3 linked regions of the Saccharomyces cerevisiae S288C genome follow. The gene in region 2 interacts genetically with the main gene of each other region. Each region holds a gene or a part of one and is shown on either strand. Other genes may lie near its edges.

What was found.
Region 1: of GAC1 (region 2) and PIG1, changing one enhances a phenotype caused by changing the other (phenotypic enhancement), as found in Saccharomyces cerevisiae (one study listed by BioGRID).
Region 3: mutations in GAC1 (region 2) and HOT13 together harm fitness more than expected from each alone (negative genetic interaction), as found in Saccharomyces cerevisiae (one large-scale study listed by BioGRID).

Annotation. Positions count from the first base shown.
Region 1 is NC_001144.5:689,064-692,826, reverse strand, and holds PIG1 (protein phosphatase regulator PIG1), read left to right. Parts: upstream 1-1,797; coding exon 1,798-3,744; downstream 3,745-3,763. Other genes in the region: MCM DNA helicase complex subunit MCM5, read right to left, coding at 1-1,272. UniProt on the Saccharomyces cerevisiae protein: Regulates the activity of glycogen synthase. It is most probably a regulatory subunit for protein phosphatase type 1.
Region 2 is NC_001147.6:668,339-672,101, forward strand, and holds the start of GAC1 (protein phosphatase regulator GAC1), read right to left. Parts: upstream 1,904-3,763; coding exon 1-1,903. Other genes in the region: cleavage polyadenylation factor subunit SYC1, read right to left, coding at 3,507-3,763. UniProt on the Saccharomyces cerevisiae protein: Regulates the activity of glycogen synthase. It is most probably a regulatory subunit for protein phosphatase type 1.
Region 3 is NC_001143.9:278,565-281,399, forward strand, and holds HOT13 (Hot13p), read left to right. Parts: upstream 1-1,944; coding exon 1,945-2,295; downstream 2,296-2,835. Other genes in the region: SRX1 (sulfiredoxin), read left to right, coding at 1-100; malate dehydrogenase MDH1, read left to right, coding at 559-1,563; ribosome biosynthesis protein RRP14, read right to left, coding at 2,461-2,835. UniProt on the Saccharomyces cerevisiae protein: Required for the assembly or recycling of the small Tim proteins in the mitochondrial intermembrane, thereby participating in the import and insertion of multi-pass transmembrane proteins into the mitochondrial inner membrane.

The sequences.
Region 1 (3,763 bases), on a different chromosome or scaffold from region 2:
TTGAGATTTGGCGGTACCTGGATCACCTAATAATAGTACATTGATATCACCTCTTAACCTCATACCATCGGGTAATATCTTCTTGGAACCACCCATCAATAAACATACAATGGCTTTTTTTATATCTTCATTACCAAAAATAGAGGGGGCAATAGAGTTGGTCAAAATTTCATAAAGCTTCGGGTTTCTACTTAGCTGTAGAAATTCCTCTTCTTCCTCCTCAGTAAACATAGTTACTGAATTCCAAATAGAGGAGGTTTCTACATCGGACTGAATACCTAATATTTTGATATAAGGTGTTCTAATAGCAACACCACTTCCTCCATTTCCACCCCCGCTCCTTCCGGATCCGGCACCATTTTTAGAATTATAGATGGAATAAATACCTACTATAGTGACTCTCGTACCAGGAATAACTTTGTTTGTTAGGTATCGGTCACAAGTCATTGTTAAGTTTCTAGGCATCTCACCTACTGGAACCAGTTCTGGGATTTCCTGTAATTTTAAAAACTGTTGATCAATAAACTTTGAAGACTCATGGATAATAATATATGGATCAGGTCCACAATTTTTCTTGGTCGATTCATCACCAATATTCGACTCGTTTGCCATAGAAGATTCACTCTCAATCGTAGATAAGCAAGAACGTGGTAAACTGACGGTATTGCCTGTGATAGAATTGAAATTGTTGATTGTTATTGATGTTGTGTGTCTGCAATTTCTGCACATTATAGAAAGGTACGTGGCACGGGAAGATAAAACTGACGTGGATATTATAATACCTGATAAACGGACAATCTTGGAGACGTGTTCAGAATCCAAATCTCTCAATGGAATCTGATTTGCATTGGAGTTTAAAATTAATTGAAATGTTGGTAAAGAGTTCAATAAGAGAGAATCAGTATCCATACTAGTATTTTCTGGATCTTTGTCATTGTTATTAGCAGATTGAGCTCTGCTTAGAATACTTATCCTTTTAGCCACTTGTGTGATCGCGGTTTCGAATAATGGAATGATATCTGAAGGTTCGTCTGATAGTTTCTTATATATGTCTTCGTTATATCCGATCAAATGCTCCATGTTAACCGTTAAAGAATAATTCTTCACAAGGATGTTGTTCCTTAACTGATCTCTGTAAATAAATTGCGAGTCAAGTCTGAACTCCAAAATGAAATTCTTAAAGGACTTTATGATTTCAGTATTATCATCGTCGTTAGGAGATTCTCCTTGTAAAACAGGAGCACTGTATATTTCCGGTCTATCAAATGACATTATCTGGCTTCTAATTCACCAAGGAGATACTCTTAGGTTGTTCTGATAAAACGTTTAATCACGTTAACAAGTATATTCATGTTCTTTCAATAAGTTGAAAAAATTCTTCGAGATTTCGCGAAACTGCAAGTAATCACTTTTCCTAAAAGGGAAACACGCCACACACCGCATAGCAACAAACTAAATGGCTTAACCTGGGAGTGAAGAGGAGGAGAAGAAAATTAAAGGCTGGCATAGGCGGCTTAGAATAAACTGATTTGAATCAATTGTTACGTTTTTGATATTGACAGTTTACTGCTGTTAGTTTGACTGCTCTATTACGCGTTTATTTGTTTTACATCCAGAGATAAGCGGGTAGAATAAAGGGCTCTTATTCACTAAATCTGGGGTAAGCAGTTTGGAATTTAATTGAATTTTTTACTAAGTCTGGAGTATAATCTGACAAATAAAGGCCGTATAATACTTCTATGCTCGTTTCTTTGACGCTTGTTATAAGGTCAATAATTTTACTCTTTGTTTTTACAAATGCCTTACAGCCATGGTAAGAAGCTTAAACCGTCTTTGAAACTCGCAAAAACAATCTCCACTTCTTCTTTTGTTTCCTCAACAACCTCTAATTCATTTTCACCACTAGAAGACTCTACATCTGCATCTTCGTCGACATCATCTTCATCATCAGGGAAATCGGTAAGGTTTGCTGCACATTTATACACAGTCAAAAAGTTCAACACAAAATTGGCGCCTATCTCGATATCAGAAAAAGCCGCTTCAAATCTTACAAGAAATTTGCATAACAATGCCATTCCACTAACGTTCCCCTTCATTGGAGGTGAAGATCATCGTTATAGTTTAGACATTTTAGATTACAGTGATTTAGAATATGACAATAAGGATGTTGAGTATGACAACGAGAGTGACGTAGAGGATAATGCAATGCTTATGCATGATCGTAGCATGTTCATTGAAAAGGAGATTCTCTGCTTTGGTGAAGAGGAGACATTCGATATGGCAGATTGGAAACTGGTCAGTAATAATTTGAATCCATTCAAAAGTGACTATAAAGTGGACGTTACTGGGTTGGAAGACAAGATTTTCAAATACTTAAATGGACAAAATATAAAGGTTCATTCATTAGAACTATCTGATCCTGTAAGCTACGAGGATATTTGTAGCAATAATTTTGGTAACTGTCAAATCTGGGGCCTTATATTTGTCAATAATTTGAACTTCGAGAAAAAAATAGAGATAAAATTTACTTTAAATAACTGGGCAGATATTCACTATATTAATGCACACTACAACAAGTCTGTCACCCCTCATGTTGACGAATTCAAATTTATTATTGATATATCTGCGTTGAAGTTAAATCTAATATCAAAAAACTTGATTTACACTAACTTTTTTGAAAGGAAAACTACTTGTCTCCTGAATTTGCAGTTCTGTTGTCGTTATGATGTAAATGGTTTCGAATATAGATCATTTTACGATAATAATGACTATAAAAACTATGAAATAACGATCTCTTTGTCAGCAATAAATCTAAATCGTGCGGTTTCGAATTCATCGATATTTAATTCCAATCTTGGGCCTTCCAAAATGGGGGCTAGCAATGCAGAGGTTACTATGTCGAAAAATAATGAAAATTCTAAAAAGCCTCTCAGAAAATTCATTAAAGATACAGATTACTACAACGACTCCCCGTTAAAGCACAAATTTTATCAATCGTTTGAAACAAAAGCGGCTTGTAAAACCGAACCTGTATCCCAAACTTTCAAAGCTGAAACAATTGATTGTGAAATTGAACCATTTAATTATTTCTTTGAACCGCCTGATTCCCAAACTAATGAGGACATGTCCGATAGCTCATATGACTTATCGCTACAAGATTTTAACTATTGGGAATTTAGTAACCACGGACTAGGGAAAGCACTGGCTGACTCAGATATCTTACAATTTAAAAATTATCCAAAACCAGAGCCTTTTAGCAGGCCTCCCATAATAGATGACACATTCACATTAAATACCGATGATAGGACCTTAGGTTCAAAAACACAAAAGCTTGAAGATAATTTGGCCAAAGAGTGGAAAAGCGCTAAGACAAGGACCACGTTAAACGAGACGCCATTACACGATGATGAGCATAGAACTTCCTTCACCTACACCACTTGGAATAATTCTACCGATACATTGATGAAAAGAAAAGAGGAGCGACCAGTAGAATCAGCCTCTTGTTCTCAGTTATCCATTGCAACCATAAAGGCGGAAGAAGATTTACTATACCAAGATTATATCAACAGCGGGAGGGAAAGCTCATCTCCGGAAATTTCTCCCTTGAATACCACAACCTCATTACCATTTTTTCCAGGTGATAATATGAGTGACAGCTCAGGAGAATATGAGGAGAGAACCTCTCTTAGCCCTAATAAAATTCACATTTTTCGTGATTATTTTTATAAGTCGCCGTCACCCTAACCATCGCCCATATTACAAT
Region 2 (3,763 bases):
TTAACGTGTCTGTGGAATTGTTGATAGTCGAAGTTTTATTATTTTCGTCCATAGTAGTATCTGTAATAACACTTTGTTTGTCCTCATATGAATCCTCCAAAGAGGTAACCAAATTTTTACTATCGTTGTTATTAATAGTATTCTCATTTCTAAAGCCTCCGAAGAATGATGGAGTAGAAATCTCCGGCATTAGGGAATTTAATGAATGATTAAACAAATTGGCCGTTGTGAAGGTATCATTAGGTTCATATAGGTTCGCATAATCAAAATTATCGAGCTCAGTAAGTGGGAAACTACAAGAGGCGGAAGAAGAATTTGTGGAGGAATTGTTTGAAGAAGCAAAGGATAATGAAGAGGAAATGGAGGAAGATGATGAAGAATATGACGATGAACCAGAATATAGTGATTGATGTTGAGATCCTAATATTGGTAGGTCAATACTATTACTGGCCGTTGGTGGGGCGAGCACATTGTTCTTATCTTTAGTTATTTTACCAGTTCTGGCGGTGTCGTTAGCCAAAGCAGAAGAAGGAGGAGGAGGGGTAGCATTTTCAAGTTTATCTAAAACAACGTTCAATCTCTTGGGCTTAACCCAGCTTGTCGTATCATTATGATAAAGATGTTTCAATGGAGATGTATTATAGTAATCTGTATCCTCGCTGAACTTTCTTGATTGAGGTAAAAACCTTGAAAGAGTGGGATTCGAGGAGACGAACCTTGCTTTCATTTCCTTCGGCGACATGGCTGCATCTGTTTGAGAAGCAGGCTCGACGACAACTGGAATCTTTTCCTTCGTTTCACCGCCCTTCTTGAAGGTAGTCATGAAAAGGTGATAATTTTTACCATTATTATTATCATAATATGTTTCATTATTAACGTCATACCTGCAGCATAATTCAATGTTGAGTGGACAGCTGCTTGTATTCTTTTCCATAGTAATGATTCTTTTGATGAGTAAAATGTACTTCAAACTATTCAAATCAATTGTAAATTTAAACTCATCAACATTCGAATTTATCGTTCTATTAAAGTTGGCGGTAACGTAATGAATATCTCTCCAAGAGTTGAACGTAAATTTAATTTCCAAATACTTTTCAAAACTCAAGTTTTTGACGTACACTAGACCTGTAATTTTGCTTGAATCATCGCCTAATTGAGTGAGAGAATGCAGTTTTACATTTTGGCCATTTAAGTACTTTGTGAGCTGACCTTGCAAATCGGAGGCCGATAATGTTTTGGTAAATAGTGGAGGGGCTATCTTGAAGGGAACCAAGTCTGTGCAGTGAAGTTTCCAATCACATATATTTGTTGCCTGAGTAGCCAGTGAAGAGGTAGCAGATTTATTTTCAGAAGTTTTTCCTCGGGTAGATAAAGAATTATAGGTATACCCATACTCGGCCTGGCTATTGATGTGCTCGTCAATATCATCCTCATCTTCTGAATCATAAAGGTCCAACTTGAACATGTTGTTTAAGGAATTCATATAACGAAACTTCTTTTCATTTTTCAGCAAGTTTGTGACCAACGAAGAATCATTGAACCAGCAGTCCTCATTGTTGAAAAGCTGGACGTCATCAGCAGCGGTATTGCTATCAACAGGGGATAATGTGGGTGAGTTTTCATTTGAGATAGAACTTGGCTCCGCGTTTTTATCAAATCTCTTAACAGTTGTTAATTCAATAGCAAAACGTACATTTTTCTCAGGTGATGTGCAGAAAATTTCTGACTTTGATCTTGAAATAGGTTCAGGGTGTGATATTTTCAAGGATGACTTTAATTTCCTAATCGGAGGGTGAGTGGGGCGACTTATAAGGCTGTCTGACATACTTTTAATCAAATCGTTATGAGGGAAAGAAGGTCTCGCCTTAGCTGGCGATAACGTAGTAGCAGTTTGTATTACCATGGTTTAAGCTCTTGTTCTATAGTAAGTTCCAGTTCCAACTTGTTTACAAAAATGAAGTTAAAATACAAAAATAAAAAATTCTCACCATCTACTAAGTACCAGCCTCTTATAGACAGTTAATGTGATGTATTATTATATCGATGATTAGCTGTAGCAATAACTGTGTTTAATGCCAGAGGAGAGAAAAGAAAAAAAATATAGTTTTGGTAATGGATCAAAAAAGTTACAGAAGTAATCTTAAATCTCTCTTTTTGTTTTATCGTTATCCGTTCCTTAACAAAAGTAAGAAAAAAGATGTAAGATAGACTATGGAAATAGTATATTATGCGTTATGTAATGGAAGGAAACTACAGATACGTATATATATATATCAAATGCAGTGAAACTAAGGATACAAAAGGAGGTGAATGATGCCTGAAATAGCAATCCCTTATATAACAAATCACGTATAAGCATGAGAAAAGCTTTCCCCAGATTGCGAGAAAAAAAAAAAGATAGGGAGGGAAGGGAATCTAAGATATCAAAGAAAAAAAAAAAAAAAAAAAGTAAAATTAGAGAGGAAAGACTGCGACAAATAGAGAAAAACTGTTGATTCGGGTTGTATTCGTTTCTTTTAGCAGTAGTTTTCTGTTGATTTGACGTACGTTGATTCACCCCCTGATGTTTTTTAGGCCACTGCCCCACTCTGCTGCAGATAACCGCCCATAACCCAGTGAGTATTTTTTTCGCCGCGTCCTCCTTGATTGTCTGTCTGGTGTTCTTTTAGCTTGGCTGTTACCAGCCTGCAGATCCACGCCACGCCATCTCACTTACGGACGAGGACGCTCTTCATTTGCTGCATTCATAAGAAGGGGCAAAAAAAAGAGGTTTGTCGCCGCTTTGGAGCAGCGCGTCTTTCCGCGGAAGAAATATAGTTTTCGGACCGAGAAGAAGCCACCACATCCCACTACTCGCTCAATACGATGTGTGGAGAATGCATGGTCTCTACGCATTTTGTATGACGGAGCTTACGTAAGCCGTTTCCTGCGGGGTGCGTCAATAGACCTTGACACTGCTGTGGTACTCCCGCCTTTCCTTTGTTTGCGTAACAGATCTCGGAAATTACATGGTGCGTGCTCGGGCTTTTTGTGATAAGAGTACTCCAGCACCGATTATTGGTGTTTACGGAGGCGCTTCGTAGCATTGCAGATACACACAAAACTAAGAGTAATAAAAATAGCTACGTAAAACAAGATTGGTTAAACTTTATTGTGCCGCTTGTGTACATTCGTATTCCGAAAAAGTAAGGTGAAATCACCGTCACCGATGCTCATGCAGCTACTCCTCACCTTTTAAGGTTGAAATCCGCTTGTCCTTGAGTAATATTCCTACGTATTATGGAAATAATGTACGAATCTGTGTCTATGTATGCCTCATAATTACAACAGTGTTGTTGCTTCTTCCTTATTTAGCCATAGATACGCTGGTTTGCGTTCTCCGCCCCCGCACCTACCATTTCCTTGGCGAAGTAGTTATATGGGGAAAACTCAACAACTTGTTACATAATCCACCAATAATTCAGATGAAAGCACATACAAGAAAATAAAAAGGTAAGTAATGACGTTCAGCACAATGGAGTTGTTAATTTCTGGCCAATGCTTAGTATGCTCTCCACTCTTCCCTTTAGTGGGTTCGAATTACAATCAATCAGCTTCATGGTGGAGAAATCGATCGTGGCTTTACTCTTGCCTATGGTGACGCTACCATTCTTTACATTTTCTTTTTTTCCTATTCCTTCATCGATGCTAAAACTGTCTCCAAATTGTTCTCGAAACAGATTTTGCAATTCTTGGATCTTCCAAACGTTATGGTTTCTCTCTT
Region 3 (2,835 bases), on a different chromosome or scaffold from region 2:
CGAAACGCAGAACGCCGCCTTCCCCGTGCGCTGCAGGGTGCTACCGGCCACTCCCCGCCAAATCCGCATGTACCTGGGCAGCAGTCTCGACATCGAATAATGATTACGCTAATAACACTACATAAGAAACATAGATAAATTATAATTCACTAATACAAAATCCCTCAATTTAATTAATCAATTTCTTATTCAACAACTAGAGTAGGCACTAGCAGTTTGTGCGACCCTCGGCGCCGGAGAGGTACAAGGGACCTGGCGGTTGGGCCTTCCTGCCAGCTTCTCCCCCCCTTCTCGGCATTCACTCAGCGTTCATTGGCTCAATCACGCGCCAAGCGGATTCCCAGAAAAATACAAAAAAAAGTTGCCATAATACAATGGCGGATATTACAATATATATAGCTTGCGCTTTAAAAAGAAGTGTTAGCACGCATTGGGTGTTTGTACTGTATTCCTCCACTTAAGATAACGAATACACATATAGATATACAATATATTATACGTGGACATCTACGGAAAGGAAGAAAAAAAACAAAAGGAAAAGGAAGGATACCATATACAATGTTGTCAAGAGTAGCTAAACGTGCGTTTTCCTCTACAGTTGCCAACCCTTATAAAGTGACTGTTTTGGGTGCAGGCGGTGGTATTGGACAACCATTGTCTTTGCTTCTAAAGCTTAACCATAAAGTCACGGACTTAAGACTGTACGACCTAAAGGGCGCAAAAGGTGTTGCCACCGATTTGTCTCATATTCCAACAAACTCCGTGGTCAAGGGGTTTACTCCAGAAGAGCCAGACGGATTGAACAACGCTTTAAAGGACACAGACATGGTTTTAATTCCTGCTGGTGTGCCCAGAAAGCCTGGTATGACACGTGATGACTTGTTCGCCATCAACGCAAGCATCGTTCGCGATTTGGCAGCAGCAACCGCCGAATCCGCTCCCAATGCTGCCATTCTGGTCATTTCCAACCCAGTCAATTCTACCGTTCCAATTGTCGCCCAAGTCTTGAAAAACAAGGGTGTTTACAACCCAAAGAAATTGTTCGGTGTGACTACCTTGGACTCTATTAGAGCCGCCAGATTCATCTCAGAAGTCGAGAACACCGATCCAACTCAGGAAAGGGTTAACGTCATCGGTGGACATTCTGGTATTACCATCATCCCATTGATTTCGCAAACAAACCATAAGTTGATGTCTGATGACAAGAGACACGAATTGATTCACAGAATACAGTTTGGTGGTGACGAAGTCGTCAAAGCAAAGAATGGTGCTGGCTCTGCTACGTTGTCAATGGCCCATGCTGGTGCTAAATTCGCTAACGCTGTTTTGTCCGGTTTCAAAGGCGAAAGAGACGTCATCGAGCCTTCCTTCGTGGACTCTCCCTTGTTCAAATCCGAAGGCATCGAATTCTTTGCATCTCCGGTCACTTTGGGCCCAGATGGTATTGAAAAGATCCATCCAATAGGTGAGTTATCTTCAGAAGAAGAAGAAATGCTACAAAAATGTAAAGAAACCTTGAAGAAGAATATCGAAAAGGGTGTCAACTTTGTTGCTAGTAAATAGATTGTTCAAGATCAGAAATAGAGTGAAAAATAGGGAAAAAAAAAAAAAAATTCTACTAATAAGAACGGAAGACTACTCGCCATCATGAGATTACGACATCTTTTTTATTTAATTCTTTGTTATATTTAGCCAATTGAAAGGAAGGAAACTGCCAAAAATCAACTAGAGAAAAATTCATGCTATTCGTTGCTCCTACACCTTTTTTTCTTCCGTAGACGAGGAAAAACAAAAATGATTAAATAGGCGCGCGCGGTGTGATGGTGATGATAATGATGATGATGATGATAATGATGAATAAACGTTTCGGTTTACGAGTTTCTTTAAATATACATATATGATATAAAAAAAAAAATACGTACCACTTACAATTTGCAAATATAGATGATCGAAACTGCCATTTATGGTAAGACAGTGGATGACCAATCTCGATGTGTCCACTGGCATCTTCCAAAGGATGTAATTGCCATCAGGTTTAAATGTTGTGATAAGTACTATGCGTGCTTTGAATGCCACCAAGAGTTAAGTTCTCACCCGCTAGAAAAATATGATCTCCTTGACGATGCAAATAAACACTTGATTATTTGCGGAGTTTGCCGTCATGAAATGACGTTTGCAGAGTATTACGACTACAATTCAAACCTTATTTGTCCCAATTGCAGATCCCCCTTTAATCCAGGCTGTAAATTGCACTACCATTTGTATTTCCAGAACCCTCCCCCCGCTATGTGTTGAGTGTTGTTCTATAAATGCATGCCATCTTAAGCTCTGCTGTGCTCTTCTCGTTAAGGAAAAAATGCGATGGTATATATATAGATATATATATATATATATGTATCTGTATATATATGTTCATACATATATATATATCTATTATTGTTGTTATTATTATCGTGATTATTATTTAGGTCCTCCCTTCTTTTTACCTGTTTTTAATCTACCCTCAAATCCGGCTCTTTTCTTTGGTACGGCACTACCGACATACTTTCTTTTCATCTTTTCTTGCTTATTTCTCTTTTTACCCTTGTTGTCTTTCCTAATCCTCAGATTCTCTTCTCTTCTCTTTTGTCTTTCAGATATCGTGTCTTCCACAACCCTCTTACGTTCGCTCCATTCAATCGCAGACTTTCTCTTTTGTGCTTCCTTTCTCTTTATAGCTTTGCGAAGTAGTTTTTCGTCATCCCTAATCTTAATTCCTTCTGCTTGTAACATAGCCTTTTGCCATTTTTCCTTTTCCTTCTGCTTGATTTGTTCTAGTTCGTCTTTCGCCTCCAT